2 linked regions of the Lepisosteus oculatus genome follow. The main gene of each other region encodes a partner of the protein of the gene in region 2 in a complex. Links are inferred from orthologs where the notes say so. Each region holds a gene or a part of one and is shown on either strand. Other genes may lie near its edges.

What was found.
Region 1: the proteins of oprk1 (region 2) and pdyn are in contact, whole or in part, in a cryo-EM structure (PDB 8F7W), measured with the Homo sapiens proteins. The link is inferred for Lepisosteus oculatus from reciprocal best matches to the Homo sapiens genes OPRK1 and PDYN. Residues at the interface, in NP_000903.2 of Homo sapiens: Thr111, Gln115, Trp124, Val134, Ile135, Asp138, Tyr139, Met142, Lys200, Glu209, Cys210, Asp216, Tyr219, Lys227, Val230, Phe293, Ile294, Glu297, His304, Ala308, Leu309, Tyr312, Tyr313, Ile316, Tyr320; in NP_001177821.1 of Homo sapiens: Tyr207, Gly208, Gly209, Phe210, Leu211, Arg212, Arg213, Ile214.

What each region holds. Positions count from the first base shown.
Region 1 is NC_090711.1:13,059,574-13,076,816, forward strand, and holds pdyn (proenkephalin-B), read right to left. Parts: upstream 8,290-17,243; 5' UTR 8,120-8,289; intron 6,503-8,119; 5' UTR 6,477-6,502; coding exon 6,348-6,476; intron 5,467-6,347; coding exon 4,843-5,466; 3' UTR 4,535-4,842; downstream 1-4,534.
Region 2 is NC_090701.1:48,511,754-48,528,887, forward strand, and holds the start of oprk1 (kappa-type opioid receptor), read right to left. Parts: upstream 8,910-17,134; 5' UTR 8,702-8,909; intron 8,298-8,701; 5' UTR 8,287-8,297; coding exon 8,060-8,286; intron 1-8,059. UniProt on the Homo sapiens protein: G-protein coupled opioid receptor that functions as a receptor for endogenous alpha-neoendorphins and dynorphins, but has low affinity for beta-endorphins.

The sequences.
Region 1 (17,243 bases), on a different chromosome or scaffold from region 2:
AGGTGCTCTGAGCCCCGGACTCAGCTGGGTCAGGACGCCGTTAGGAGGCCTGTGCCTTCAAGCTATGGATGTAGGGCGACTTGATGGTAGGCGGGCCTCTGAGTGTCCGTCTTCCAATGCAGAGCCTGGAATACCAAGTGCGTCCGGATTAAATAAGGAGACAAAACAGGAGGCAGGTGCGCATAGTCAACTAAAATACGAAAGGGCTGATCCCCCTTAAGGGATTCCAATTGTGACACCTATGGTACGTCTTTGATACTCTGAGTGCACCCACCTTCATACAATGAAGCATGACAGTTGGATTAACGTTACCAGTTGGATTATGTGGGGAAATTTAGGGACGCCAGACTGTGCTTGTCCAAAGTGGAGTTCAGCCATGACACCAGAGTTACCACTCCTACTCTTACACACAGTGACATGAGATCTTTAATAAGCACAAGTAAATGTGCTTCAACACCTCATCTGAAGTACCGTACCTCCTAGTCTAGAGGCTCAAACTCTTGGTCCAGGGGACACCACTGTCTCTTTTTCAGCCAATGGTTTCATTAATGGCAAATTCGTTTCAGCTTTCCGTTTTGGACCTATATGCGAAATGTTCTTTCGGATTCTTGCAAGGTGAAGTGGAATTTGTAATTGGAATCAACCCTTTATCTTCCCGAGTCCCAGAATTGACTTCATTCAGCTGCATTGCCTGAAATGTAACCCATTGGATCTCTGGAGAAAGGGGGGAAAGCTGATTGAAGGTTTCTTTGATACTGTGTCATCCCCACCTATGTCTGTTCATCACAAATCGATTTCGATAAATCAATTTTAAGAGCGGTTCGGTCAGAAAAAAAGGTGAGGAAGTTGAAGAGAGACGGTTCTGTGTGCTGAAGGGTAGGTTTTTTGTGAAGCTCACGCCTGAGTGCAGAACAAACTATACTAAAAGTTTAATCAAGCAGAGCAGTTAAAGGCATCAATCAGCACTGGGGATTTAGAGCTTAATTAGAAAAACATAGCAGATCCAGTGCTCCCTCCAGAACTGGGCCCGAAACTGCCATCCTACAGTATGGTGTTCTCGGTCAGCGTACCGGGGCAATAGTTTGAAATTCTCAAAGCTCAAAGAAGCACACATACACTCACCAATTCTCCCAAACACATGCAGGTGATCTCTTAAGCCCATAAGAATTCCAAATCTTTCAAAATCTGCTACTCTCCTCCAAAATGATTCTAAATGTACCCAAGCACTCCAAAATGGAGCTGGTGTTCCCAGAAGTGCCAACAAAGTTTTACAGAAGTCAAAGAAGTCCCAAACCGCTCGGGACAGCTCAAAGAAGCACATGTACTGTATGCTAATAGTGGACTTTTGGAGACACAGGCCACACACTCACAGCCCATTCAGTATTGATGGAACGGAAGTGGAAACAGTCACCAGCTTTAGGTTATTGGGAATTCACATCTCTAAAGATCTAACCTGGACTGTGAACACTGACTATCATGAAGAAGGGTCAGCAGCGCCTTTATTTCTTGAGGTGCCTCAAGCTTTGGGGGATGCCAGTACCCGTGTTGGTGAACTTCTACCACTGCACCATTGAGAGCATCCTCACCACTACAGCAACACCTCTTCGAGAGAGAAAGGCGCTGCAGAGAATGGTCAATATGGCCCAGAAGATGGTCTCACCGAGATTAAACAGCTCTATGTGGACCACTGCTGTGGTAGAATTCTGGCCATCACAGAGGACAGTCACCACCCCAGGCATGAGCTCTTCACCCTACTGCCCTCAGGCAAGAGATAAGAGCATACAGACACTTACCCATAGATTCTTCAATAGCGTCTACCCACAAGCAGTGCGATTGGCGAACACATCTGGCCATGCCCCTCAGACCACACCTACCTCATTATGATTTCTTATTTATTGCACATCTCCAGTCATTGTTTACATTCAAACTGTTTACTTGTACATTGTCTACTGTTTGTTTGTATATTGTCTATATGCACAGTCTGCACTTTGTGTTTTTACACTTGCTTTAACAATAGAGAGACTTTCTGTAAGTAAGAATTCCATTGTACCAGTACTTGTACCAGCTACATAGGGCAATAAAGTTCAAGTTCAAGTATGCTCACCAATTCTCCAGAACACTCCAGATTCCTAATGTCCACCTACTGGTCACAGTAACCCACATGCAGAAGCAGTTGGGTTTAGAGGTCTCTCACACTCAAAGTCACCAATATTCACTGCCAGTCCTGGAATCCACCATGTCTCCTGGTCTTCATTCCACTCTGGCCTTTTTATGGTTTAATTTGGATCAGTTGTTCTCTTAATTGGTCTTTATTACCATTGGTTCCAGTCTTTCCTCACTGAGGATTGTTTATTGTGTATAAACGTGCTGGACTGGGCCCTTCTCTGTGCAGGAGTGACTATCACTACACTAGATGATATAGTAATGCTGCTGTCAGTAAGGACTTATTCAATTACAGCAGTTCCTTTGCTGTATACATGCCTGTTAGAAATTAAAATGGGTTTTGCAGAAAGTGCATCGGCATTTGATCATTTTAAATAGATCATAGATGACGTCATAATTGTCCGAGTTTATAGCTCATAAACAAAGATGCAACTTAATAACATTTCAAATTAATTAAATACTTACACACCGGATTTAATGCGTCACACAATTGAAGTATCTTTGTCATATTAGCACATTTTGCACGCATATTTAAGTTTGTTATATTTACAGGATAAAAACATATCCTGACAGCAATACGTCCCAAACAATGTCTACACGCAGATATTTTCAAATCTAATGACTAATCACTAGCGTTCAGTTTTTGTTAACAACACATTTGGAGCTGCATTAAACCGTTTTTACAGAAGAGGGAGCCAACGCATATTTTTTCAGAGAATCAACTTTTAAAAAAACGGCGAAACAAGGGCAGATTGTAAATAATCTACAAAGGAATTTTAAATAAACAGTAAAGCACATGATGCGGTATACACGTGTGCTGGTTTTGCTATCAGTTAAGGGGGGGGTCGTTTGCTTTTTAAATACTCACGATGATGTAATTTAAACAATAATTAAAGTTTACGGAACTCTCGCTGAACTTGACGATCTCGGGTGAATGACGTCATACGCCGGCAAACCTAACCGGCTGTGTCTCGTGACCAGGTGCTCCAGTTTGTAAGCAGGTGCAAGTCGTTGTTCTAAGCTTCGAGGTTTTTTGCAGTGTATAAGGGCTTGTAATAAATATTGGAAGCGGCTGGGGGAGCCAGATGTACACTAAAGGGCTGGCTAGATAGAATACCAACACATTTCAAGATCATTAGATATTGTAAGATACTGTAACACATACGGCCACCATTGCAGGTTGTTAATAAATAGCAGGGACCGCAACCGGCGGGCTGAAGGGAGATTTCCCTTTAGCTCAATTGGGTGGGTCCTTGTTGAGAAGCCGGAGGCCCGGGTTCGAGTCCCTATGGAGGGGGCCGACCTGAGGCGGCAGCGGCGAGGGCACATACCCACGTGAACCCGAGAGTGCTACAGTACTGTACATCCTTGAAGAACAGTAAAATGACTGATGTTTCAGCATGTCAAAGTAGTTCATTCATTTCCCAGTAATCTCACTTCCCCTTTAAACTATTTGAGAGTCGTACTAAAACTGTCGTACTGGCTTGTGAAAGCAGACTTCGGGGTGCAGGAGTTGTATTTTAGGGTACAGGGCGTGGTACGTGGGTTATATTGATATTATTGATAATACAGTATAGAAAGTTAGGTTTAAGAAAAAGATCACAATTGGAACATTATGCTGTGTCTCTGAAGGGACTTCCCTTGCATTGTGATATACTGTAGATACGGACAGATACCTGTTGTTCCTGGGAGTCAGCTGAAAACAGTAGTATTTAGTAGTATGGTTTGTAGAAGAAAAAATGCCTGTCTCTATGGGAGAAACGCGCCGTGCTTGCTGTATTAAAACGACAAATCTGGTGACAGCGTCCACTCATAGCTGCACCTCTAATAATAATAATAATAATAATAATAATAATAATAATTAATAGCAGCTTACACTTATATAGCGCTTTACAGGTCATGGGGACTCCCCTCCACCACCACCAGTGTGCAGCCCCACCTGGATGATGCGATGGCAGCCAGACTGCGCCAGTACGCCCAGCTATCAGTGAGGAGGAGACCCTAGAAGACGCAATAGCGAAACTATCGCGCAGAAAAGAGTCCCCCGCTCCCCAGCTTGTATATTGTGATAAAGACAGAGTGAGGTGCCATAAAATCAGAGGAAATCGTGGTTAAACTCGATTCTGAGCGATGGTACACGTGTGGTAAAAGCAGAGTGAAGCATTTCAGTGCCGACAACTCAGCTGTATGCTGTACTGGTCGTGCATTGATACATAAACCTTGATGGATTGATATTGTGAAAATGGCTTGCACTGTCATTACCTTGTGTGCAGCCAAGGGAGACTGTACAGGATCTTTTATCTTCATCTGAATTCTCGACACTTTTAGTATTTCGAAAGGTAACATTTTCTTTGAAACTCGGACACAGGAAGAACTTGCATTTATTTTTTTTATTATTTTTTATTAAACAAGCATCAAAGAATAGAATAATGTTTGGCAACATACAGATTAGGCCTACGCTTCTCGTTTCACAGATACAATGAAAGTGTCACTGTTTTGTCGGTCTTCAGAAGTGATAGACAAGCTAAGGAGAGCTCCCTGCGCACACCCCAGTGCAACTGCCTGGCGTCGGGTCTTACAAGCGAAGAAAATGAAAAACGAGCTACGGGTGAAAGTGAAAATTCCAGTGCATCTGCATTAGAAGTTCATTAAGTCATTTTCAGTGACGGCTCCCACGATCTATAGGTCGAAACCGTCGTAGGAATATGAGCTAGGCTCTTCGTCTGACCGAACAGAGATTTTGAAATGACGCCTTAGAAAACCACCGTATCTCTTCTGGTTATCCCACTTCAACTTAGGTCGAATTCGCCGCATGAACCCTCCATATCTCTTTTGCAGTTCTTCTTGGCTGCTTTCTTCGGCGGAGTCGTGGCTTCTCTTGGGACCGAATTTCCTCAGAAAGCCCCCGTAGCGCTTGACCTCGTTCAGGGCGGCAGCGCCGTCATTGTAGACCACCTCCTCGTCCTCCGACGTCCCGTCGCCGACCTGGCTGTCCTGCAGCAACTCGGGCGCGTCGCGTTCTCCAAACTTCCGGAGCAAATTCCCGTACTTCTTGGCCAGCAGGCCCTTGAGGTGTGCGTTTTCTCGCGCCGGGGAGCTACTGAATATTTTGTTTTTGTCGACTTTCTTGATGAATCCGCCGTACCGCTTGACTAAGTTGCCGGCGGGGTAGTCCTTCTCTTCTTTGTCCGCTCTGCTCGGCTCGTTCTCCGTCAAACCGGCGGAGTACATCTGAAGGGCTTTCTCGCATTTTTCTAATTCTGTGGTGGACGCCAGGGCCCCTTCGCACTCTAACGTGCAAGCCTGAAAGTAGAAAATAAGGTCAACACGACAGATCCTCGATACGACCCCGAGTCCTTAACTTACCGGTTTGTTGAACGTAATGCTGAAACTACGCGTCTTTCTGTTGAGTCTGTTCATCTTCACACTGATACAACCAGCTAACGCCATTGACGAGAGTTATAGTTTCTCGAACATATTTGTACTTGGAGCAGTTTTGTTATTGATGTTAAGCTATGCACCGCTCCTGTTTCACAATATTTGGGGGGCACATGGCAGTATATTTTGAAGTTATATTACGTGACTTGTTTTTATACGATGATAACATCTTTGATCAAATTAACAACAACAGAAACGTAACACTTGTACAAAATCATTTCACCGGGTTTCTCGATTAGCCGCTTACCAACCGATGTAACTCTCCATGGTGCTGAAACGTGTGTAATCGATGTTGTCTCCATCTAAAAAGAGTCCTGTTTTCAAAACCCCTAAATTCTTAAATCTTCATTTCTGGCTAAGGGGATTAAAACACCGAAGTGTGTTTAACACATAACCAAAGATTATATTTTAAAAACACTCTGATGTGAACAGAAATTGTCCAATAAATGTTGACTGATACAACCCATTCTGGTCCCACGTGGTTCAGCTTGACTATACAGAGCGCAAGGCGTTAAAAAGCATACCTTTATTTTGTGAATGGAATGGAAATACATGCCTATGATTGACTGAACAAGCATGTGCACACAAAATAAATAATTTACCGTGAGTTGGTGAATGTTTTTTTTTTCAGTTTGGTGTTCCGAGAGTGATTCAACATATCAAAGAAACAAAAACGCCCTGTCACGTCGTTTTTCAGAAAGCAGCCCAACCACCCGAAGTAAACTGGACAGTTAATGCTGTCTTACCAGACTGTTGATGTTGATGTTGACATTGGGGATCTGCTGAGCACAGGTTAAGCACTGGGAAGAGCAGTCTGCTTGGACTGAGGATGGCAAACTCAGACAGAGAACCAAAGCCAACACTGACCACTCCATTCTCTTAACGTTATCTCTCCCGATGGCTGAAAAGCAAAGACATCGCCCAGCACAGAACGGTTAGCACAGTGCACTATGAGGAAGCAAAGATAACGCATACAGTACCTAAAAGGTATCCTTGTCGCTTTATGACCAGTTCACAGTCTCTAGACGATTTAATATCGCATTTAGCTCGGTTTATAGACATGGCTTTTGCTTTTTAGAAAGTTGTGCTTATTGTACGGAGCACGTCTTCAACGCGAGCCCCGTCTCACAGCGCTGCCTTCACACCGTAAATTTGGGGCGTCAGTTTGCGCTCCTGATAACATTGCAGCGTTTAGCAGATCGAATCACTGTATGAAAACGTCTGACCGTAAGTACCCTCATCTAATCCAGCCCGTTACAATTATTGCGCTTAACAAGGTGCGAACGTTTAGAAACTGGCAAGAAACTGGCGTACTGTAGGTGTACATCGTATATTCTTCTTCTGCTGTATAATATGTATTACATAGAATGTAAACAATATAAAATACCGTAACATTTTAATTGGGCTTATAATACATTGATAATACAAACAGGATACACTATCTGTACAGTTAATCAGTTTTTACTCTTTAAATTTGTTTGCGCAGAACTTGGGTTGCTCTTTCAGTGTGCGCTAGCCTCATTTCAATCTTATGTTTTTTTTTCATTTATTACACCAGCACGTCATGTCATTACACCTAATATACATTTCCCGTAGTGTAAAGTGCTCTGATTATCGTTGTCTTATAAACATAAAATAATACGATCGTAAGGGTCAGGACATAAGACTTATTTTACGGAACATTTACATCGTTACTCGATGTTCTTCCGTGTTTCTATAATCTCTTATATCTTTTAAACAGTATACATACACGAAACGTTTTCCCTTATGTATATCTTCTCTACTGAGCCTAACAGAACTTGTCAGCAAAAACATTGTAGTTCCAGTCTAATTATAGAATTCACATTTATTTACTGTAACTACAGAGGTGGCGTAATGGTAGTGATGACAGTCTTATCCAAATCACAGTTCACAAATGCAGAGGTGATCAAGCCAATTACAGAACAATCACGACTGCAATTAAGTGTTAATTAGTGTGGGTTTCTCTCTATGGTAAAGCTACGCGCGTCTTCAGCCTGAATAGTATGATTTTCTCTATATAAAATGCTGCTCGTACGCAGGTACTGTTTATACACAAACACAAGTAGCCTATTTAAGTATTAATTAAAGGTACGTCCTGGCTAGTTTTGCATTTAAATACCCACTATTTCCCCTTATTCATAAATTATTTTTTACAACAATGCATCAGTCGCTCTTAGCCATTATATTAATGGGCTCGTCTTCAAACTGTTATTGTACTATAATGTCTCGAAATAGTTTGCATGACCACGTCTGCAAAAGAAGATGAGGCGATTATTCCCAAACCCAGACGTTGTCCGATAACACATTTACCAGAAGTAAAAGCAGCCGAAGAAACAAAAAGTCAAGCGTTTAAAGTGCAAGAAGAGTATTAGGACAGCCTAACTGCCTGCTAATACTGTTTTTTTTTACATTTTATTATTATAATGATAAATGTAGTATATTGCGCCAATATAATGCGTTATCAAATCAAAAAATGATCTGGTAAAGAAATAGTTACCTTAGCAATAGTGAACGAATTAGTGCTTTTCCACCTGCCAACGGGTTCACCTCTGCCACTTGATCTGCAGTTTCTGAGTTTCCTTCTTTTCTTGCTTTAATTTAATCTCCTAGTGCATCTTAAGGAGTCAAGTTATGATGAGTCCCAGTTCTTTGGTTCTTTAAAATCCCATTGCCCGCTCCCCGTCTTTATAAAGACGGAGACTCTGTCGTGTCACTGGGGGACATCAGAATAGATTCTTCTTTTGGACCAATAAGAGTGATTGGTTGTATGAATAACCACACACACCTCACACCCCTCACACCCCTCTCTCTGTCTCACACACACACACTCCCACACGCATTCCCCCTCTCAGCCTTGGCAGGGCAAGAATTTAATGCTTTTGTGCACGCCGACGGACATGATTGAAAAATAAATACACTGCTTTGGCCATTAATTATAATAGGGGTGGAGATTTAATTATTTTTAATCGTTTGGGGTCTAACTGGTATTGACGGGAGAGTAAATGAATTTCTATTGTTATGTCAAGCAATGCATGGAGGAAATGCTCGATGCAGTAAGGAATGATACAGTACATTAGGTTTGGACGTTCAGGCAGTAACAAAACAAATCGGTAATGCCTTTATACTTCTTAGAGGGAAAAAACACCCAATACAGAATAGTGAGAATCTAAACCTGTTGCAATTATTTATACTTTCACTACACTTAAATGTTTAATCATTAACCTTTTAATATGGTCTTTTTTTACCAATCATTTCTAAAACCTGATGTCAAAACCTTCAAAAGTGGGACTTAAAAGCTGTAAATATTGAGTCTTCCCTTCCGACAGAATCGAGTCTTTTCTGTGTCGTCAACTCAGTTGTAAAAAGTTACATTTCCTGTATTCGAAAGCACGCTAAAAGCAGAAAACGAAAGCATAATTATTTTCAACATAATACTGGAAGAGCTCATCTTATTCACAGAACATATTTCCACGTGTACAGGAAAGACGGAGAGCTTACACGCCCCATCCTGAGAGAGTTTGTTTCAAACGATATGAGAAAATAGCGTGCCTCTTTTTTTTATCAAGGACCAAAAACCAACTACAGGCTCGCGTCACAGTGAAACCAAACACCATTTTCTCAACAAACCGGTTTCCATTAATTTACCTGACCATGAACACAACGTCTCTATCCTTGAATGTATGGAATAAGTATCCAGAAAAGGATGACTATGTATTTACAGTAGCGACCGTATGGTGGAACACAGGAAGCTTTTTAGAACAATATGAAGTTTCTTTTTAATTTTGAACTATATAGACTTCTATCCCTGTTATGTAGAAATGCAGTATACTGTATGTATATGTGTACACTTGTCATAAAGCTGTAGAATTTCTCACTGTCGTCAGTCTAGCAGCTGTAATGCAATGTTATGTCAATGTCACAGACCTTAATTGACACTAATCCTGGACTTTCTAATGGTAATGTAAATAAGCATGTCTAGGCCACCAGACTATAAATTCTGCATTTCTCTGTGTACAGATAAGTAGAATTTCAATGTCAAAAGAACAGTTTCTGTGGGATTTACAAAAACTGTAACATAACTAGTTAATTAAATAATTTCATTTTATAAGTTTCAGGTACGTAGGCAAACTTTTCTGATAAAAGAGAATATAAATATATTCATGATATATATTTATGGTATATTTAATGTATACCAAACCCTGCAACTTGCTGTTCCATGAGTCTTATAATATTTTTTTTTATTTTATAATGGGGGCTAAGTGTTCGCGTAAAGGAAGATTTTTTTTAAATCATACTTCACATTTTACATCCACTCATCGTTTGGAATGACCCAGCAGAGTATATGAATCATACTTCACGATGTGAAGGGGGTTAATTAAACGTTGTTCTTTAAAAAGCAATATCAGGCTTTAAAATGACTCTTTTTTTCTAAACAAACACCACTAGATAAGATACTAGAGCAGTACTCTGTATCTGAAATAAGATTCTTCACTGATGTATTAAGAAAAATGCATATTGTTTGGTAAAGTATATTGATTTGTCAAAAATATTGATTGATTATAACTCTCCAAGATAGCATGTTATAGTTCTGTTGTTCTAGGAATGAACCAATTTGAATCTCATCTCTTCAGTTTTACATACAAGAATTATTGAGGCAATTATATTCTTTTTTGTTTAAATAAATTCATAAAATGCATAAAACAATGTTTTTTCCCCAATTATTTTTTTCTTGAGTATTTTATGTCAGATGCAGTAGAACTATTACTCAGGCAGAGGTGGAAGATGTTTTAAAGTGCAATCTTTTTGTGGCCTTTTGCATTTCTCCACCCATATTCCTTTAGCAATCAAGCACACCTGCAACTGCTATGTACAGTACGTCTGTCCTTTAATGTTGCTTCTTCTGTATATTCTGGAGGGCCACTCTCCTTCCTTGCATGTTGGCTTCCTGTACATCATCGTTCTTCAATCTCATGAATGAAACATCCAATGAAAGATGCATTTACACTCATCTGGACAAAAAACTTAAAAAAGAGAAAAGGACTGTCATTTTTTCTGATGAAAAGACATTTTTTTCCTCTAGTGGGCTCCTGATCACAGACCTTTTTCTATTGACTTTCTTGTTAAATCCCTTCAAATCCATCCATCCATATTGCAAGAGAGGCAAAAAGTAACGGAAGAACTTCTCCCGTCCTTCACAGTAACACAAATGTGAACGCGGGAGCAATCAGATCACGAGATGAAAGGGATTGACAATGGAGTGTGATGAAGGAAAAATAAACATGTCAAAGGAACACTTCACAAAGGGTTTAAGAATTAAAAACGTCAGCATCATGCCATGTGTTATAGAAGGAGATTCATCGGTATCTGGTAGTTTTATTATAGGTGATGCTCATTCTCCAGGGGTTAGAATGGACTAAAACTAAAATATCACCAGGGCCTGATGGTGTTCAAAAATCAGACAGGTGAGGTGCAGGATGTGCTGGGAAGAAAGGTGAGGTGTTCCTGGTAATTATTAATGGATCCTTCCTGTCGAAATATTTAAAGCCAGCACATGACTGAAATATTGTGTTGTTGCTGATTTTTTTTAAAAAGTAATGTATCTTTCTGTTTTCAGGGTGATTTAATCTAGGAATAAGCAGTTTCTTAGCAACCTCGACCATACATTCCTATTCTTCTTCCTGATGTCTTGTTATGCTTATTGTATAGTGTGCTTTGTCGTTTTGCCCTTGAACAAGGCTATTCTCTGTACAAGGTATTGTCGAAGTAGTATTATCAAGGCATAGTAAAATAAATAGAAAGGCCACTGATTCATGACATTATTTAAAAAAAAACCCTAAATCAATTGCCCCAGTCTCTTCCAGCAATGGGCACGATTTCATTACATATCAATCTATAAAATGCTCCTTGCAGACAGACTTTTAAATTGAAATGTTCATTTTTAGTTGTTTTTTTTTTAAACATGAAACACGCAGAGGGCAGTACGGTGACACAGTGGCTAGTGTTGGGCCCTGGGTTCAATCCCGGTCCTGGGCTGCTATCTGTGTGGAGTTTGTATGTTCTCTCTGGGTTCGCATGAATTTCCTCCAGGTGCTCCGATTTCCAAAAACATTCTGTTTGGTTAATCGGCTTTTGGTAAAACTGAGTACAGCTTTTTCTGTAAGCGCAATAAAGACAGAGATATACTGTACTTATTTCTCAGTGTTAGCTCTACATCAAACACTCATTCATCCTATGAAGTTGTGATTAATTTAGAGTTTACAGGGCTGCAGTCCAGACAGCTGCACACAGTGTGGTAAAAGCATGGACACCCCAGTTTTAAGATGGGTTATTCAGAAGTTATTTGTTAAATTACAGCTGTTTATAAAGGACAGTTTGAATTGTAATGTTCAGTAGAGTTTGAAAGGATGTAATTGATAAACAACTTTCGTTTAACAGTTAATGTTACCTAAATTATTTACTAATTTGATTGGTCAGATTACAATTTCATAGAGTACCCTCATCTCTACAGCTCTGTGAATGTCTACAGACCAGTTGTAAGTCTCTGCATCTGTCAGACCAGTTACAATGTTCCATAATCTACCTTGTGGTGTGGCACCACCATATTTATTAAGATGCAAGAAACAGGATGTTTCCGAAGTAGGACATGTTAAAACACAAACTTGTATTAGGACTCAGAAGACATAGCTCTTCTTTGGACAGAGAGTTGTGGGTGTCTGGGATGAGTTGTCCTTCCATGTCATTCAAGTGAATTCACTGCAATCTTTCCTGAAAGGCCTGGAACAGATCCTCAACCCAAAGAGTCAGTAAGGACAAATTCAGACCCTTCCTCCTGTTCTGTTGTGCCATTATATACCCTGTATCAAGAGATAGTGCCTGATCACAAAGAGTGTATGGAGGAAAACGTGGAAAGCAGAGCTGCAAATGAAAAGAAATGGAACTGGACAATAACCTTAAGTTGTTAAATTGTTCCGTTAAAGAATGAGCAGGAAGCAGGCACAATCTTGACAATACAGTGTCACGTCTCTCTCCTGGCAAACTCCTGTGGACTGCACTCGATTATAACAGCTAGAAAGACATTGCAAAGAATGACCTTAACCTAGGAATACCTTAAAGATATTTAGTGCTAGAATGGCTAGGATATTCAAAGTTAATTTCTTTTGTTACAGAAATGTCTGGACAAACAGTTTGGAAATACAATGAAGCTGACCTTTGTAGTTTGTTTAGTTATGTTTCATTGAATCAACTACTTCTGTGTAGTGGGCTGGAAAATAAATCTGTTTACTTGAACACATTTTAGAGCTCTGCCGTCAAGCTTTTTGCCTGGTCAAATTTGGTTCCAGTTGTGGCCTCATTAATGTCTCTAACGTCTCTTTCATCGGTCAAATTCTTTGATTCATTTTGTTGTAAGACTCTCCACCTTTTAAAGATTTCCAAATCTCGGAAACAAAAAACATTCAGAACCTGCAACGTTCTGTCAATCAGAAAGGATGAAAGTTAAGTGAGAGCTCAGCTGGAATTAAACCAGTAGACACTGGGACCAGGAAGCTCTGCTCTGCTCAGTAGCTGATGGCTGTTAGTTTCCTCTCCAGTCCGATGCAGTGGTAAACAGCTCCAGCTCACAAGAGTCTGGCCCCTCAAGCCTTCCGGAGTTAATTCCTCGCGGCCTTTTAATTACCTCATTGAACTCATTATCAGCCTATTTGGTCCAATTAAAAAAATGTAAAGGGTCTTTAGTGAGTGATTTTGCAATGGACTTCCTGTTACCCCTTACCCCAATGCCTGCCAGTTATCATTTCAGCTGAGCTTTCAGCCGCATAATTGAATTAATATCTAATTAATATCCAGGCTAATAACATGCTTAACATGGACATTTTTCTTGCCATTCCAAGCTGCTCAAAAGTTGCAGATTTAAACTTGCTCTCATACAATATCTTTTATCCATCCATTATCTAACTGCTTTTTCCAAATCAAGTCCATGGGAGAGCCGGAGCCTATTCTGGCAAGCAACAGGTGCAAGGCATTTTACACCCTGGACAAGACAGCAGTCCATTGCAGGGCACACACAGAAACACACTCACACCACAAGCGAATCAACCTAGCAGTAGTATGTCTTTGGACCACGGGAGAAAACCTGAGCTCTCTGAGCAAACCCATGTGAACACAGGGAGAACATACAAACTCCACACAGAGAGCATCCCAGGAATCGAACCCAGGTCCCCAGCACGGCAAGGCAGCAATGCTAACTACCACATCACCATGCCACCCCTTTCAATATCTTGTTCGTTTAAAGAAACAATTTAAAAACAAAGCGAAAAGCACCAAGTTAGTTCCAAGTTCTAGATTTAGTTAAGCGCTCAATTGAATTGCTGTGTGAGACCACAATAAGGAAATGTTGGTTTACCTGGCAGTATAAAGTGGTCTACATTGCATCAAGGAATTGTGCCTCACTAGCATAATCAGTAGGGTACTGTAACGATGCATAGTGCTGGACCCTGTGCAGACGGTATAATCCGGAAGAGAGTAGGACAACGGGGAGGAGACGATGAGGATCAGGGCAGGTTGACAGAAAGGGGAGCATGACAACAGTGAACTGGTGCTCGGGGGTGTGTGATCATGGCAGACAAGTCCAAGGAGTCCAGGGGGAAGTCCGGGGTGAAGTCCAACGTCCAAATCTGGTTGGTCCATCTGAGACGAAGACAAGACCGGAAAGGGATCCGGCACAGGGACGGGAAATAAAAACGGGATGACGAGGCCAGGAGCTTGGAGCCCCTGGACTCAGCTGGGTCAGGATGCCAATAGGAGGCCTACGCCCTCAAGCCGCGGGCATAGGGCAACTTGGTGGTAGGCGGGCCTCTGGGCGTCCGTCTTCCGATGCAGAGGCAGGAGTAGCGAGAGCGCCCGGCTTAAATAAGGAGGGGCAGGACTGGGGGCAGGTACACAGAATCAGCTAAATGTGAAAGAGCCGGAGCGCCCTTAAGAGGAGGGATTACGATCGTGAGAAGTCGTATTCACCATCGCTGACATTCATCGACGAGGTTCCTTCACATGAAAGTATCTACAATTACATAAACAAAAGCTTTACTTTCTCATCTCTTAACTTGTCTGCAATTCATCGCATCATCCAATCCAGAGTCTGGACTTGTTGCTGGTGTAGCTCCTCTTTAGACACCTGTAAATTGGGCAGGATGTGTTGATCTACTTTGCTTATGAAGATTTGATTCCATTTCTATGATTCCCAGCATGTCTGAACAAGAATTCAAACATATTACACAATAACGAAAATAAAAATGTTGCATCTTGCTTGAGGAAAATATATTCATCTTTACTTATTCCTTGTAATTATCAGGCTGTCTTTCAGGAATATAAGGTCGATGCAGCTATTTGATAACATGATATACTGTATGTAACCTAAAGATATATTTCTTCCACTGAGGATGTTTGTGAGTCTTAAATGTAAAGGCTAATGCAAGCTTTTAAGATCCCATTGGTATTTTGCCAGTTATAAAATGATTATTCTAAAGCAGTTCGTCATATAACCAATTTAGTAATTATTTACATCAATATTTTACAGTCTTCTAAGGATAAATGTTGATGATGACATATACATTTTAAAAAAGCATTTTTTATGTAAACATTTCTCATAAAACTTTTTCCTAAAGCGCTGCTTATTTCAACTTAACATCATTCACTCATAACATCATAACATCATCATTTGATTATTTCAAGCAAAGGATTATAGATGTTTTAGAACATTGCATCCACCATTTTCCTTTTTGTAACATTTTATGTCTTTGGATACATTTTAGAAGAGGAATATGAAAATAGCCATTTGCAAATGGGTACGTCCAGCTGGTGATGGGGTCTGAGGGGTCATGTTGAAGAGAGCCAAGAATCCTGTCTTGATAATGTAATGTAATGTTTTATATACACCAGCTATTTTAACATTAGTGGCTGGCAGTGTGGTAAAAATGTGAAGAATTACCTTTTTTCCTGTGTTATTGTTGTGCTGAAAAGACTGGCTGTAATTCACTGGTCTTCATTGAGATTATAGCAGTGTTTGGCCTTTTGTTCTTACATTTTGCTTGTGTTCACTATCCATCAGAATCTACCTGTACATAGAACATATTAAGGCAACTGGTTTTCCAGGTATGAAAATCCCTGCACTTGGAAAATGTATTGTGAAAGGATGACAATTTGAAGTTCCTTGTCCTCAGTTGTGCAATACTTGTGTTCCTCTGGTGCTTGCTGGGAATCAGAATGATGCTGGGTGAGAAAAAGCACCCGGATCAACCTCCTCCTACTCTTAAGTTTGCTCAATGCGCCGTCCTCTCCTTGAATGTTAACAGATGCTGTGCTTGAAGGTCAAACAGAATTTAATTGCTACTTTCTCGCGTTGCTAATTCTATTGTAGAGCCCACATGTAGAGAAATGCAATCACAATACAGAATGAATGAGCCACTGAAAGCATCTTTCTCCATTCTAGCAAGTGAAGGCCAGCGACAGGAATAAATTCAAAAGGGCTGGCTATGTTTTCCTTTTCGGGCAATCGTGGAAGCGGTGACATAGCAGGAAATAACAGATTTGGATGATTTATCCTCGTCATTTGACTCAAAAACTTCTAGTACATCTCTCAGTCACCTGTACAGTAAAAAATATTAGGAGGGTCTTCACTCGCACGGCTTAGAAAGTGCAGGTCATACTGAATGATCAGTGGTTACTGTAAATGAGATGAAGGTAGAAAAATTGCCAAAAAGTGTCGTTACTGCTCAAATTGCCTTTCCCTTAGAGCCAAGTATGGAGAAATGGTTGATTAATATAAGCGACAGTTTGCAACAGATGTGCAGTCTTTATTCTGTTGAGTCATTTATCTCTTGGGAATGTCTGCTTCATGTTTTCAGTTCTATGCCCATTTAATTAGAGGAAGAAAGGAAGAGAAGCAGGATTATTGCAAATATTGAAATATTTGGAAGAAGATGCAGCCAGAGGGCTTCGTATTCTTACAGTAAAAGTAAAAGGTAAAAGTCTTGTCACTAGCAAGCTCCAGGTGTGTGCCATTGTGAGAAATTGCCAGACCTCAGTCTGTTCTCTGGAAATGTACAACCGAAGCAGCAGTAGATAACAAGGTTATAAAACAAAAGGTTTATTCCATGCTGAAAAGAGAAAAAAGGAAACGCAACGTTTCTGTCAGGGCTGACGTTAAGAGTACCCGGTTGGACACTATGCGGCGCTGATTTATGTATTCATTTATATTGGCTGTTTAGACATCTAGTTAAGTTCTGATGCTATTTGCTTATGTCTCAGTTCAGTTTATTTTCCATTATTTGTGGTGTTGCATTGCATGCTGAAGTACTTTATGATCTCCTCTTATTCTTTGTGGGAGACTTTAATGGCTCTTGATGGGAGTGAAAGCAGCTCAGAGGCAGAGTGCCGTACACTCAAAATTCAAGAAGGATTTGCTACTGAGAGGTACAGTAGGTGCATCCCACCCAGTGGGCTCTTGAGAAAGCGTCGTGACCTCTCCAAATACTCTTAAAATTAAAAGTTTGAAATAATGAGCTAAACCAGGGCTATTTGGAGCTCTTTCAGTTAGTGACTAGAAAACAAATGAGGAACAGGGCCTC
Region 2 (17,134 bases):
TTAATTCACACTATATAGAAACAATAAATATAATCCATCCATCCAATTTCCAACCAATTAATTCCAGCCAATTAACTCACCCATATGCCTTTGCACTGTAGGAGAAAAACCCACATGGATGCGCAGAGAACATACAAACTTCATGCAAATGATAATCCAGGTCCAAATTCAGTAGATTCTCACCACATATCCTGAAACCTGTAGTTGTATTTTTTTCCTGTTTTGTGAAGGTTTGTGGCCTTTTCAGCCGCTTAAGAATTTAAAATTAATATGTTTTTCTCCAAGGCTGTTAAGGTATCCATACAGTACATAAACGTATGGAATTTGCTTTAAAGACAAGCAAAAAAATACACAGTAATGCCTACACAAGCTCCACTATATTAAATCCAGCATTTTTGTTGGGGGAGGGTTCCCGTGTACTTTAAACTTAAAAACCAGATATTCAAAAAAATCCCCCATCCCTTCTAATGTATGAACACATTTTGTAGCCACATCTCCCTTCCAGCTCTAGTGAATGTCTTATTCTTACTGAACAAAAAGCTAGTAGAATGTTAATCATGCATGAATCATAATGCTTCTATCAACTTGACTTTAACAAGAAACAAAATAATAATAATAATTCAAATACCATAAACATTCAGAATATTTTACTTCAAAATCGATACATGAGATTGTACAGTATTTTGTTTTTGAAAATATCATGAGCTCAAGCCTCTTGGGAATTTCAGGAGCAATGGCAGCACTGACATAAGGAGGTGACCTAACCTGTAAGCATCTATGATATCACTTCCCAAAAAGCTAAAAATGCCAAAGTAAGACCTTCTCTTCCTTGCATTCATTTTTTTAAATCCCTCCTCCACCCCATAACCACCTTTGCTACAACCCTCTGTTTGATTCCTTACTCTGCAGGGGGTCCTAACTTCGTTGTTCTGATACTAGGTGGTTGGCCCACGGTGATTCAATAAACATATTTTTTGTTGAGTGCTGTTATTGCTAGTGAAATGTGACAATAATTTTAAATGGTCAGGTCAAGATAGTATTTTTTTTTAAATGATACAAAGACTTCAATACTTTTCTGTTTTTAAACCCTACTCAAATGAAATGAATGAGACTGAGTGGAAGGTAAAAAAATATTTCAATTGCCGTGTCTTTGGCATGATTATATTGCTAAGACCGAATGACAGAATTATTGCTGTATGGCTATTGTATGTCTATGCAATGAATTGCCAACAATACATGCCCTCTGTTGAATGTACAATAAAAGAATTACAGTACTGTATGTGTAAGAAAGCTCAGGGAAAGCAGGAATATATGCCTATCGGAATGTTCTTTATAAGTAATGCTGGCTTTGTATATGAATGGGTATGAAGTACAAAAAAATGAAAATCAACTGTTTTGAACAACACAAATGCAATTTAAAATCATAATAATAATATAAAAAATGATTACTGGTAAAAAGGAGATATACTGTAGCATGATTCCTTGGTTAAAGAATACAAAGTACCTGCTGACATGTTCTTGGTACCAAACCTGGCAAACCCTTTAGTACACATGCCCTATGCAAAGTACCCATACCATTGAGAGAAAAAAGATCTCAGAATGTCTGAACATCAGAATACCTTAAAATAACAGAAATATCCAAAGGATAATACATTACAGTCTTCCTCATGTTCATGCATTCTGGGATCCAACAGTGCTTTAAAACTGTACTCCTGGTCAAATAAGACTGTTTTGCTCTAAAAAAATCTACTGTCCCCATCATTTTTCTCATATTGCAGGAAATTTTCTTTCAGAAAGGCTTTCAAACAAAATGTTAGTCACCCAATCAAAACAATCACACACAAACTCTTGCGGGGATTCTCCAAATGGACAGTTGTGAAGCACCTGGAAGGATCAAATAATCAGATTTTTATGAAGCTGGTTTATTTGGAAATTCAGTATGTCCATCTACTGTATGCATCCTCTAAAAGACGCTTATTACTGGTAAGAGTCATGGTGATTGGAGCAGTTAGGAGAAAATGACTTCTCTCACTGCACTATTACCTAGTCTGGTATTAAGGAGTGATAATGGAAGGATCAATCAAAAAAGTATAATAGTATGAAGTGAAGAAAGTGGATTCATGCTGTTCTCACATAAGATAAAAGGGAATGGGTTTGAGGACAAAAGGTGGGACTGTACTACTGTTCAAAGTACTACATTCCACTGAGTTTTTATAATTCGGCATTTGTAACTGTGCATAGCTGGTACAGTAAATTACGCGTGCTTCACGTTTTGCTTCATGAATTTGCTCAGGCACTCTCAGGTTGCTTAGGGATTGTTTATGGACAACCATTTTCAAGTCTTTCCATAGATTCTCAATTGGATTTAAGTCAGGACTGATCACTGTCTTGCTGAAAGATGTTTTTATAACCAAGTTTTAGGTGTTCTTATCTTTTTTACCTTCAGTACCTTCATTACCTTTAAAGGTCCTCCTTGTCTTATTCTATCTAGTTCGAAGGCCAGATTCTACAAGTCCATGGTGGACTTTTAGACATGGCACCAGAGATAACATTATTACACTTTAAAAAATTGTGATGGGGAATATAAAGACTAAGTAGTGTGGACCTTGGTTTAATGTCTCATTTGAAGGATGACACATCAGTGTGTGATTCCTGCTACTTACTGGTCTACTCATATGACTTGCAGCATATAGTGTACATAGTTCCTTTTCTTTAATGGTTAATTTAGCATACACGACAAATTTACTAAAGCAGAAATATTGGTGCAGTGAAGTGAAATATTCATAAGTGTAATTTTCTATATGCATGAAGACATGTATGCAAAATAATATCCAGCAATAAAAGATGACATTCTATTGTTATCTCTCACATTAAACTGAAACACAAATTCCATGGTGACCATAAAATAACACCCAAAAAGAATGCAGAAAAATGTACAGAGTGCAAGGGTGAAAGTATCTTAATTCACTGTTCACTGTACTGCAAAATACAATCATCAGCACTAAAAACAGAAAGGCAAGATTAGAATTTGAAAAGAAGTACAAAGATAAACCACAACAGTTCTGGAACAAAGTTTCATGGACAGACAAGAGGAAGATAAATGTTTATCAAAATGACAGAAAGGCAAATGAGTGGAGAAAGAGAGAAACTGCAAATACCCAAAGCACAACACCTCATTTGTGAAGCACCATGAAGGTAATGGCATGGCTTAGGCATGCACGGACGTCTCTGAAAATTGGCTCACTTTATTGAGTATGGAACTGATGATAGCAGCAGCAGAATGAATTCTGAAGTCTACAAAAACACATTGAGTGGTAACTCACCCTGCGGCAAGACAATGACCTGAAACATTCTGGCACTGAAACCAAGAAGTTCATCAGGAAGAAGTGGCAACTTTTGAAAAGTCAATCACCTGATTTGAGTCCTTTTGAATATGCATTTTACTTGCTGAAGAGGAAACTAAAGCCAGAAAACCCCACAAACTACCAACAACATTAAAGTGGCTACAGTTAAGGATTGGGAAAGCATCTCAAAGGAACATATCAAGAGTTTGATGATGTTGATGAGTAAGGAGTCTGTGACCAAGTACTGACTCAGTACTGATACTCACTAGAATAGGAGGAACAAACACAGCAAATTATATTTTTCTAACTTGACTAAACATGTTTACAAACTAAAATCCAGGACTAAAAGTTGAAATTGACACATTAATATTCTTGCCTGAAATACAAATGTCTTTAATACATAGCCAAAATTACAATTTCACTTACTAATACTGATACTAATTGTACCTAATACTGTACAACTTTTACTGTATTTTTTATTTTTTTTCTCTACGTTGGATACACAATATTTTGACAATAAAGAAATCATAATTGTTTAAAAATATATTTTACTAAAAACAACTTTATTCCATTTAAATGATTGTAGATTGATTTTTTCTAAATGTTGCATTTTTATCAAATGCAAAGTATTGTATATATCTATTTATATGAATTATTAAAATAATACATTTGTAGGTGAGACATGTCAGTTAAAGAAAAGGATCAACGTATTATGTACATTTGTACATACTGTATGTACATATTACAACAGGATATATTTTATCCTTTAAATAGAGAGGCCACATTGTGATCAGCTCTTACAGCATGTTAAACATATCTGTGACTGTTCCCCAATGCATACTGAATGTTTTTAAAAAATGAAATAAACTTTAAGAGTAAACATTTATATGATAACAGTTTTGAATTAAGGACAATTCGTGAATGTGTTGCTGTTGTTGTCTTGGAGATCTAAACAGCGGTGGAAAGGATTAATACTGAGCATACTGGAAAAAAACTACATAAATCATTTTATGATTCTTGTACCATGCAGTCCAAAGCCCTGCCATTTTGAAATGATTACCTTCAGAAAAAAATCTATGTCCACAATTTCCACAGTGCTTTATGTCTGTGGTATAAATATTAATTGTATGATCATCAGGTCCTGGATATAATAAGACTATGCTATAGATCCTTGTGGCGTTTATGTGCCTGGTAGTTTGCTGAATATTTATCACCTTATTACCAACAGTATTCATTTTTAATACAGTAAAAATTGTATCGGGACATCTTATTTTTGACTTCTAACAAATGAATGATGTGTGGATACTTACAGAGCTTAAACACTGTAGATAAGGGGGAAATGATCTTTCTATTCCCTTATGCTAAAAGCAGAATGATTTAAAAATGTCTTTATTTTGTCAGTTCAGAACTAACTTGATCTTAAATCTAAATGTATGCCCCTCTGATGTCCTGGAAAATTGCAGACAAGAGGCAACACTACTAAATTTGTTAGATGGCTTTCTTTAGCTTTGTTTTTTATATTTATATATTTATATATAACACATGGAAAGATTAGTATACATTTAAGAATGAGTTTGAATGAACATAAAAACACTACTTCAATCTGCATCCCAGTCTCAGTATACTGCATATCATCAGTACTCAAAATATATTTATTCTGATCAAGAGGCCTACTGTATTAAAATTACAATCATCAACACTAATATGAAATAGTTTTTGCTGTAAATTGATATAATAATAATCATTATTTCATTTAGTGCCTTTTAAATAGCATCTCAAAGTGCTTTAGGGTAGATGTAAAAAAACAGTTAAAAGAAAACAGTTATAAGGATAGCAAATTACAAAATAAGCACGTATAGGAAACACAAGGGATTAGAAGTGCAGCAGAAGATACTGTACGTGGTCATTAGAAAATGGTGTAGACACAGACACTAATTAAATAAAAGTCTTTCTGAAAAGAAAGAGTCCAGATTTAAATGCACTCAGGATAGGTGACTCTCTGATATCCTTTGGGATACTGTACAATTCCAGAGCTTTGGGGTGTAGCAAGAGAAGGCCCTATCACCAGCAGAATGTAAACAAACTTGTGGGACATATAGTATGGAACACCAGAATCAGATCATTTAAGGTTGTGACGTGGGGGCAGATAATAAGTCAGATAGGTACTGAGGTGCCAAGTCAAGTACAGTTAGACCCTTGTACGTGAAGATTTTGAAATCGACTCAAAACCTGATAGAAGCCAGTGCAAGGCTTCTGTGCAAGATGGGCATAATGTGGTCGCATGCATGCAACCTGGTCAGGATTCTGTTAAATTCTGAACATACTGTATTTGTTCAGTATGGATTTACAGTCGATACCCCAGTGAGCTGGGTGTTGCAGTAATCGATTTCTCAAAAGACGAATGTGTTGATCAGCTTTTCTGCTACAGACAAAGACAACAATAGGACATTATCTGGCTGTAGTTATAAGATAAAATAATTATATTTTTACAGTATGCTGTACATGAATCAAGTCATAACGAAATAACACCCCTACATTCTTAAATTTTGATTGAAATTCAGGCACATTGCCATCCATAGAGGGTTACTGTATCGTTTTTACTGTAGGTGATGGGAGGTGCTGAGTAGCATGACCTCAGTCTTATCACAGTTTAATTGAAGGAAATTTTAAGTAATCCAGGTTTTTATATCAGAGATGCAATTAGAAAGTGCAGAAACAGCTACTTCATTGTCAGGTTTAGTATGGGCATACATTTGAGTATCTTCAGCATAGAAATGATAATTCGGCATGTATGATTTTAATAACCTGACCAAGTGCAAATGTGTAAATGCTGAACAGCAGGGGGCCCACCATCTTCATCCACATCAAAGTCATGGGAGAGCTGGAGCCTATCCTGGCAAGCAGTGGGTGCTACGCAGGGTACACCCTGAATGGAATGCCAATCCATTGCAGGGCACACGGACTACAAAACCCACATACTCACATCAGGGCCAATTTACCAGAAAGCCAATTAACCTACCAGCCACTGATATGAGAAATCCAAATTTCAAAATATCCCTATGGGTGTGGGAAATACAGTATGCCAAAGCACATGTGAATGATATTTAAGATTTGAAAACTTGATTGTCAATGAAATGATAAGCAATCATGAACAGACAGTAGGTAACAAATGCATGAGAGTAGCTAGACCCAATAAACCCAATAAAAAGCTGACTTTATTGTGACTAACGGGCATAAAATTCATCACGGTATGGCATGCAAAATAATGCTTAAGTAATATTTAATGGGTTAAAAGGTGAGGACAGCACCATGTATCGTGGGTGAATGTTGTCATTATCAAACTACATTAGGATCATTTGTTGCAAAAGATTACACTCCCCAAATAAGTAACTACACATACGTTAATCACATGTGATGCATTAATCACATACTGATTAGAGGGCAGCACAGTGGTGCCGTGGTTAACATTGCAGCTACACAGTGCTGCAACCAGGGGCCCTGGGTTCAATTCTGGACCTGGCGTATTTCCATGGAGCTTGTATGTTCTCCCCATATCCATGTGGGTTTCCTCTGAGTGCTCCCGTTTCCTCCCACAATCCAAAAACAACTGACTTCTGGGAAAACCGGCCTTAGATGTGAGTGTGTGCGTATCTGTGTCTCTATGACTGGCGTCCTGCCCAGGATGTACCCCTCCGTGCTCTCATTACTTGCTGGGAAAGACTTCGGCTCCCCCGCAACCTTGAACTGGATGAAGCAGTTGGAAAATTGAATGGAAAACTGATTGACTAGGAAATTAGAGGAGGCAAGATGTAATGATTTTACTCAGGGTACGTTGTCCTGAAAAGAATTAAGCATCACTGGAGGTTAGAGCAAAATGGTTATGATTAACATCTAAAGTAGGGCTGTCTAAGACTTTTAATCATCAAATTAAAAATGTCCAAATGAGAAATAAAACTCACACCAATTCTAAGTTGCTAATAGCATCCTATTTAATATATTATTTATTACGTTTGTTAGGGTCTTATATGTTCAATATTTTGTTGCACTATTACTATAACACTATTTGGGAAATAGCAAAGGTTATGTCCACGCTGATAAGTAGGAAAAAAAAAACGTTTCGGTTATCAAGCCTTCTTCGGGTCTTAATATTATATAGCCAAGCCCACTTACATTAAATGATAACTGATTAATAATAAACAGTAAATATATAAAATAACAATATTGTCCTTAGAAAATCTATTTCAGAGACGTCCATTATATAGATTACTTGATTTATGGAAATAAATCAGTTTTCCTCATGCCAATATTATGTCATGAAAATTCACCGCAGATGAGGTCATATCAGGCGTATAGTGCAATGCAGCATAAAAAGACAGCGTCTTTTGGAGGGAGAAAATTAATGCAGAGAATCTAAATTCAACATTTTGCTAAATAGAAAAGCTAAAAGGGCTACTGAACATTTATTGCAGTTCTCCGTCTTCATTTTCAGAGCTATTTTCTGTTAAAAATAACCGCTGGGTGGCTCACGTGTATTCAAAATGAAAAGGCACAGTTATAACACTGAAGTCTAAATAGGAACTTTGGTTTCTGAGATATAAGAACTAACGTTGGGGGAAAAAAACAACTGATAAAATTTGTAAAAACAAATAATTAAATATTGATTGAAATAATTATTAACATGTTAAAAATATTATAAATATAAATTTGAATCTTACCTGATGATAACATACATGACTAGACAGTTGCCCACCAAGCCCACCACAAACACAACGGAATAAACAGCAGTAATGATGGGAATGATAGGCGACATGGTTTGATTTGCCCAGCCGTGCTCATCTGTGACATTATCTATGTCAAAATAACCAGACAGCCATGTGGAGCACTCCTCGGACGAGACAGGGAAGCAACTGTCTTCTTTAAAAATCTCCACTGGCTTCTCCATTGCTTGTGGATCTTAATAAAAGTAAGAGTAAGAAGAAGAAACAATATTTAGAACAGTTCTTATATCATAGTCTGAAACATATATATTAAAGAGAGTGCTAATTCATTGTATGTTACAAAAATAAAGTCTGTCAGAACGTTCATCGAAATACAATCTGTCAAATATTTGTTTATAAAACATAAACGAACACGTATATGGTATCTATATTTTGGAACAAGCACAAACACAAAATCTTTTTTTTTTTTTACTGAAACGTCTACTATCTAAACGACTTCACCATCATGTTCGTCTACTGTACATGTACTGTACAAAAAGGGTATTACATTACCAAATCACATGAATGAAAAGAAAACGGAAGACGAATACTACAGATTACTAAAAAAAATAAAATAAAGTAAGGTTTATTGAAACATACCTGCACAATTGCAATTCCACCTTCGGTATTCTTTTGTGGTTAAAATCTGAGACCAAGCTGATATATTTGCTATTCGCTCGCAAAAGAGACTCTTGGAGACGCAAACTTTGTTGATAGTGGCTATGAAGAAGCCAGACACCTGTACTCGCAGTTTCACAGCACAGCACGGACTGTACCGCTCAGTCACTCCTCCACTCTCTCCCCCGGCTTCTGCGGCTCGGATGACATCAGAGTAGTGACAATAGCCCAGAGATCTTAACACAGGACACAGGCTACTTGGAGTAAACAAAACCAGCAGATCTGTCTTGACTGCCTATTTAATCTGATAGATCGTGTTTGTTTTTGGCTCATTCCCAGTACTAGTCAAGAGTTACTGTGTTCATCAATATCATTTTTCAGATTAAAATCCGTATACAGTACATAAACGATGAATTACTGCATATGTATTTATTGCATACAGTAACTATTTAATAAAGACACAATTTAAGGCCTATAAAATATTATATATATTTAAGTATAGAGATTGTTACGAGTTATATTATTAAATACGAGGAAATGTTTTCAGCACATCAAACAAATATAACACAAAGTGCAATTCTTTTAGTAAAACTGCCACCACCTTCACTAATATTACTACAAATACTACGCTATTTTTACATTTTTTCAGAAGAAATATTTTTTATATTTTTTGCCTAAAATTGTTTACAGAATAATGAGGTACAGTATACGCAACAAACAAAACTCCAGTGAGTTTCACAGTGTTTCTTCAAACCAGGGAATAATTATACATTCAAACAATTACTGTAGCTGTAATGGTCATAGCCCAATTTTACAAAGTGCAGAGAGTTAGAAGTTAAGAGAATCTAAAATCTTCAGAAAACCTGCTTTGGGAGTACAGTATGGTATTACAGTATGTTACCTACAGTACAATGTTTAAAAACACAGCCCTATCAGGAAACTACTAAGGACCAGTACTGATGAGGTGGTGCTGATACCACAAAGCATTCATGTTCTTACAGATCTCTCCATTCTTCTGAACATGGATTGCCAGACTGCTTTTTTTTTTTTTTTTTTAACGTGTTGGTCTCAGAGTCTCAGTGGCAAAAATCAGGGCCAGTCAATCTAATTGATCCAAGCTGTGACCTGTCCATCAAACCTCTTCTCTCCTTTGTCTGTATTGTTTTCACTTCAATTATGTTGCACAGTTAATTTTTTAACTTCCTGCACCTATTTATGGAATTACAATAACTTCACATTACAAGTGCCAATATACTGTAAGCAAAACTCGAAGCCAGTACGAGCTCTGTCACCGGGCATTTCTAAAATATCACCTAGACTACAATTTTCTTCTTCTTTTCATCTAACATGAAGGTTTTCTAAAGCTTTTTCCTCCTTTCAGTCACCTAGCCTGGCCATCTGACAATGCTTAAGAAGGAAGACTGCCACAGTATTCGATTCTGAAAGCACTTGATGTACACAATCAGGTATTAGCCCTTCTCTGATAGCTATGCTCCTTGGCAAGGTGTGCTTTGCTGGCAATAGTGCAGAACATGAATAATGCAGTCCTGTGAGTCTAGAGAAACATCAGCGCAGAACTGCTGTTGCAGAGAGTCCTGAGTTGTAATCAGTCAACTGAGCTTCCACTGGTGGTTTGTTTCTAGGCTTTTTTTCAGATCCGCTAAGCTTAATGTAAAACCTGCATTACTAATATATTAGAAATACCAAGAACCTGAATGCACCAGCTGCATGTTCTGAAAATCATCCCCCATATCATCTGAACTCATTTTCCAGTTACTGTATGTGCCAGTGCCAGTCATGGACTGAATGGGGTAGACTGCTGGTCCTAGAGGAACACTGTCTGCTCTTTTTCATTCCAATTGAGCTCTGCATCTGTCATGTCATTGATGACTTGATTGCCAATTGATGTGATGTACTGTGATGTTCTCAAAATTTTTTGATAAACCATAGTAAAGGGGTGAATACTTGTGTCAAAGATTGTGTCGTTGACATATCTTTGCAGTTTTTTCTGACATTTAACTTTTTTACCAATAGGTTTTAGTCTTAGTATTCAAGTTTCATTAAATATGTGTATGGTATTGTATACAGTACCAGTTCATTTGTATCTCACCACAATGGAACATTGTTGTAAGGGAATGCAAGATGCTGTAATTATTTTGAAGTTTCTTACAGTACATCTTCTTAGCCTGAATCTTGATTTCTGACATTTGCATTACAATAAATGAAAAACCTTTTTTACCTGTAAAAGATATAATTTCACTGTTAAAACATGCAAACTAAGGGATATAAGAATGTAGGCTTGTTTAATAACAAAGTGATATGTACAATACAACACATAGCACAGACAAACATGTCACATTAACACTTTGAAGCACTTGGATCTAGAAAAAAAATGGTTTCCAATAAACCTTATAATCATTAATCAGCAGAGATAGCTAATGAGATTCAAAATGTTTTTCTAAAATATCTTAACATTTCATTCATATGTGTTTGTATCTGTAAATGATTAGTTACAAAAACTGATGACTCATTCATAGCATAACAAGACTTTAGATCCATTGACAATTAAGAGACACCAATTAACCTAGCTTACATTTTTCAGGGGTGAGAGAATACTGAAACACCCAGAAAAAGACCACACTGACATGGACAGAACATGCAAAAGCTGTAAACAATATGCACTAGGCCAGTATTGGACCCAAGTCCTATAAGACAGCAGTTATAACCACTATGCCACCATGCAATCTTATTATAATTCAATATTATAATACTTTTGAATGAGTGTGATTGAAACTAACAGTGAATGCTACACTGATACAATTCTCTTGAATCTCACATTTATCTTCTCTTTCCTTCAGATGAGATTTTAAATCAAGGTCCTGACTCCCAATAAATACCCTGTCATTAAAGATCCCACATTCATAAGAGTAAGGTTAATCTTGTTGTCCTGGCTGAATTCCACTCTGGGCTGGAACAATCTGCCCTTGCAAAAGTTCCTCCTTTATTCAAAAGGTGAAGCAGTTTCTTACTTCTCTAGCTGTTCTGCTGTGCGGTGGGGATGCTGGTGCCTTTTGACAGCTGTGGGTTACCCAGACGGGCGCTGCACTTCACTGGTGAAGTGGACCCACCCCTATATGTAAAGTTCTGGATGAAAAGCACCAAAATGCTTCTGGATGAAAAGCACTTACAGAAATTTCAGGAATTTAAGACAGAAAAATGACAATGTAAGTACGCTTCCAATAAGTTCTTTGAGCACGTTATAAATTTCCTTAACTTTATATCTCTTAATTGGTCTTTTCAATCAAGATATGTGCATGCAAGTCTTGCATGGTTTGTGATCATTCTGACGTGACATTTATAAGGATTCAAAGTCGCGATTAATACTGTAGTTCCTGAGAGGAGCAGTCACATTTATAAATTAATAAAATAAAATTCCTAATTTTTCTATCACAATTATTCATATCTATCACAATTAATAATAGTTCCAGCCTCTTAGATTAAAATTAATTTGATCTAGTCAAATATGATTAATTTACACCTTTTCATTGATTAACTACTGTAGTACCCACTAATAACTAATTGGTAAAATGTCTGTGTTTGAAATTTATTTTTGAAGAACAATTATGAGATTTCTGTCCAAAGCTGATAGCTGGGAGTGTGTGTTTTTCATTTCCATTAACAATGATGCTACCTTAGCCTATGCTTTTTTGGCAGTTAACTGCTTTTATCTATTGACAGAATTGAGTCAATAATGACCAACCAACCATCCTTCTTAAAACACTGTGGAGTCAAGAGACATGAACTATGAAGGATGTGTTGCACTCTATATGTCTGGGATATGTTCCAGGTTACACTAAACCTTGCAAAGAAGAAGTCACTTTCTGATATTGGACGGATGAATTAAAATTACGTTTCCTGTACATAAAATTATTCTGAAGTGAAAACTTGGTCAGATATCTGAATATTATATTTACAGATATTACATTATATTTTATAGCAGATGCCAAAGAGAACACATTTATATTTTGGGACTCCTCAAGTGTAACACTATTTAATATGTTAAGTGCATTTTCCATTATGTAGTCTGAAACAGGACTTATTGTGATGTTGTTAATACGAGTGTTGCGATTGTGATTCCATAAACTTCTCTCACTGCTGTGTTTATCAACTCCATTTTTTTGTTGTGTTGTGTAGACTCCACTCTGCTTTGTCATGAACGTCATCCCTCCTCTAGAGGGCGCTCCAATCCTTTTGTGTTCGTTTCATTATAAAGTTCACCTGCCCCTTGTTCTGTTTTTTATTTCAACCTGGTGCTCTGCTTTGGAAGATGGATGTCTGGAGGCCTGCCTAGCAACAAGTCGCCCTACATCCACAGCTTGAAGTCTTAGGCTTCCTAACAGCGTCCTGACCAAGCTGAGTCTGGGGCTTGGAGCTCCTGGCCTCGTCTCTCCGTTTTTAATTTCCTTGTTCCATGTCCCTGTCCCTGTCCCTGTTTTTAACTGTCTTGTCTTGGATGGATTCCCTGTTTTGGACATAGGATTTTCTACATTGGACTGTTTTTTAGACTTTGTTTTCCTTTGTTCCCCCCTTGCACCTGGATTCACTGTCGGCACCGCCCCGTTCGCCAATCCCTTCCATTCCCCACCGTGTTTTCCCCATAGCCCTTTTCCAGTCACTTCTGGATTATACCATCTGCACAGGGTCCTAAACTACGTGTCGTTACATGTTTAACATAGAGTCTTGGTTTTTTATCTGCAATCATGGTGTAGTAAAGTAACTTTCGTCTTAGTTTAGGTCTAGTCCGTGTAACTTTGCCTGTACCAGTTAGCTTCCTAACTGCTTTTAACCCTGGTAAGTGGAAGCACACCAGGGGGCATCTATAGGTCAGTGGAAAAATACAGCTCATGTCTTAAATGCAGTAAAAGGTAAGTCGAATGCCCTGTTCTGCAAATGTAAGCAATAACAACAAACATTCTACAGTATGTCAAAAGTAGGAAGCTTGTCTGTCACTGTGTATGAAAAAAGTGCTGAGCAACGCCTTCTCTTCCGTATGAATGCGAAATAAACAACTCATCTTTCACCAACATCAGGACTCTGTCATTTTATATGATACTACAGTAGTATCACAGCTTGGTTTGTCTTAGGCCTGTGCATTTTGTTAGTTGCTTCCCTATAAAACGTCACTTTGACTACTTACCTTTTGTCGGTTTTACCTCCTTATTTTATCAATATTTTTCATACACTTACTGTAAATGGACTCATCATTTGCACTTGATTTTGGTCTCCTGTTTCTTTATTTTATTAATGAATTCTGTTACCATTTATCTTTAACTTACAGCAAGGTGGATTTTCCAGATATGGTGTCACGAGAAAAAATGATAATGTTTTATTGTCAGCTGTTTGTCAAAAAACAGCTGCTTAGGAGACTGTGCTGGATTCAAGAGAGTCATCAAATGAGATAAGACTGTAACAATGGAAGCAGACGTTACATCTACTGTGGCTTAACTTCCTGATGCAGGATATCCTAAGGTCAATAACTTGATAATCCTCTGTCCTTCACTGTGGGCTTACGGAACATGATGGGTACTCTGCTTAAGTTACAGTCCCCTACTATTCAACAGGCTTGCTTACAAGATAATGCCCATGAAGAAGGAAGCAAGTCTTGAAATGGTCCTAGCTGAGCAAAGCCACAAGTTTCAGCTGTTAAAAAGTATCTAGATGCACTGGCTGAATGGTTTAATCAGATTGTATAGAGTAAAATATTTCTGACAAGACTTGTGGAAAGCCTCTTTATCTGCCTCACTGAATATTTTTGGGGTGGCTGCCTGAATGGGGCCAATGGGCTAAGAGAGAGGAATGAGCAGCCGCCTGCTGACATAAAAATAGTCAGATTTCTTTGTTCAAGAGGGTGTTTTAATTCTGTAGGACACACTCAGAGAAGAGACTGAGGGTGTTGCTCATAAAAATAGCATGTAATCCTGCTAAATCACATCAGTAAAGGTTTAAAAATCCCAGTACTTAAGAAAACCTTGTCATTTAGCGACGTTATCAGAAGGAAATAGCATGATACATCTCATTTACAAGTGGCTCTCAGAGAAAAATGATTTTTCTGCCACGGACATGGTGATTAAAGAAATAAAAAATTAAATTTAACTCTTTAAATGAATTCATAAGATAGCATACATGAAGCTCTATAGTTGCTAGCGGCTAATTGAACCAAAATGCTCATCCAGCCATTTTGTGAAGTAAATTGTAATGACTTCACAAATACAACCGGTTTGGTTGTTCCAGACCCCATAAAATCCTTTTTGCAACATTGCTGTTGATTCTGAAGAAGTCAATTGGACTGATTTTGTTAATGCCTTTGAGGATTTTAAAACTCAAGCAAGCTCCTCTTGTACACTTCAGTGTTCAAGCCTAAACAGGTTTAGTTCTTTTACACTGTCAGTGTAGGATGTTCCTTTAAGCCTCTTTGTGAAGAGACAAACCAAATTTCTAAAAACAACTTAAATAAGTTTTAGGCGCATTGTACAATGTTTACATTTATTGATTTAAGTTCTGCACTTTGAAACAACTTATTTAAATATATTGTTATCTTTTTATTGCTTCCCTGCATTGTCTACAAGACATAAATGATGTGTCAATATGAACACCTACTGTAAGTCTTTCTGAACAGTAGCCTCATTTATTTCACTGTTTCTCTGTTTATATTTACTGTTATTGTTTTTGCTGCCTGCATGCAACATCCTGCACTTGTCTTCTTTAAATTCATCTGTCAGGTGATTTCCCAGTCCAGAAATTGATCTGAGTTTTTTTTTAATTATTTTGCAGTGTTTGCAAATCCTCCTATTTCTTTTATAATAGTCAAGACAGTTTGCAAATCCATACAAATGCACAAATGTACATTTTACTAACTGTCGCAGAATCTAAATCATCAATAAAAATCATGAAGAGCTGTGGTAATATGCATCCTGAAGATGCTTCACTAATTACATCACCCCAGTTTGAGCATTCACCCATTATCTTTACCCACTGTTTCCTGTCCATTAACCAATTCCTAATCCAAGTATCTAAGTTATCTTGAATTCTTACAATTCTTACCTGCTGTTTGAGAATTAATCTCTATAAACTAACTTATAAATTAGTTTTACAGGAATAATAGTTGCATTACCATGAAATAAGGAAATACTTACATTTTGACGAGCATTCTAAATAATTTATATAACGATGACAATAAATATGTGGTCAGGAGAAAGAAGATTTTTAAATGTTTTAACTTAATTTTGTTGCCCTTGAATTTAAAATGCTAATTTCTATGTTTCTGATCATGACACAAGACAAAGGCTACATCTCAACAGAAAAAAATATACACTCACAGAGCAGCACGGTGGCGCATGGGTTAACATTGCTACCTTATGGCACTAGGATCCTACAGTAGGTTAAATTCTGGACCTGGGGCAAAATCTATGTGGAGTTTGTATATTCTCACCATGTTCACGTGGGTTTCCACCAGGTGGTTCCGGTTTCCTCCCACAGTCCAAAGGCATGCTGGTAGGTTAATTGGCTTTCTGGAAAAATTGGTGTGAGTGTCTGTGTCTTTCAGTGCCCTGCAATGGACCCATTATTTTAGTGAACAGGTATGACATACTGTATGTAAATTAGGTATGCCAATTATCTTTAAAATTACTAAGTGTGTCATGTGGTCTTAAATGTTGACAAACAAAACAAAAACCTTATCTGTAGACGGCTCTGTACTTGAGCTTCAATCAAAATTGAAAAACCTTGGGGTGATATTCGATTCTGGCTTAACATTCGACCCAGATGTACAGCATACTGTCAAAACATATTTTTTTCACCTTAGAAATATCGCAAGACTACACCCTATGCTATCATTAACTGTGGCTGAAAAGCTGATCAACATATTTGTATTCTCTCGAATTGACTACTACAATGCTCTACTCCCTGGGGTATCTAAATCTACTCTGAACAAACTGCAGTATCTCCAAAATTCAGCAGCCAGAATCCTGACCAGGTCTAGTGCAAGTGTTCACATTATTCCTATCCTGGAGTCTTTGCACTGGCTTCCGGTCAAATTCCGCATAGACTTTAAAATCCTCATGCTCTCCTATAAGGCTTTACATGACTTGGCACCTCAATACCTGTCTGAACTTTTATCGCCCTACTCCCCACCTCGCAACCTAAGCTCTTCAAATTCTGCCCTCCTTACTGTCCCCCAAGCCCGTCTACATTGTATGGGCAACAGGGCCTTCTCCTGCTATGCCCCCAAGCTCTGGAACTGTTTGCCCAAGGATATCCGAGAGTCACCTTCTCTAAACTCCTTCAAATCCAGACTCAAAACCTTCTTCTTCAGAAAAGCCTTTACTTAACTGGTTCCATTCTTCACCCCTCTGCTCT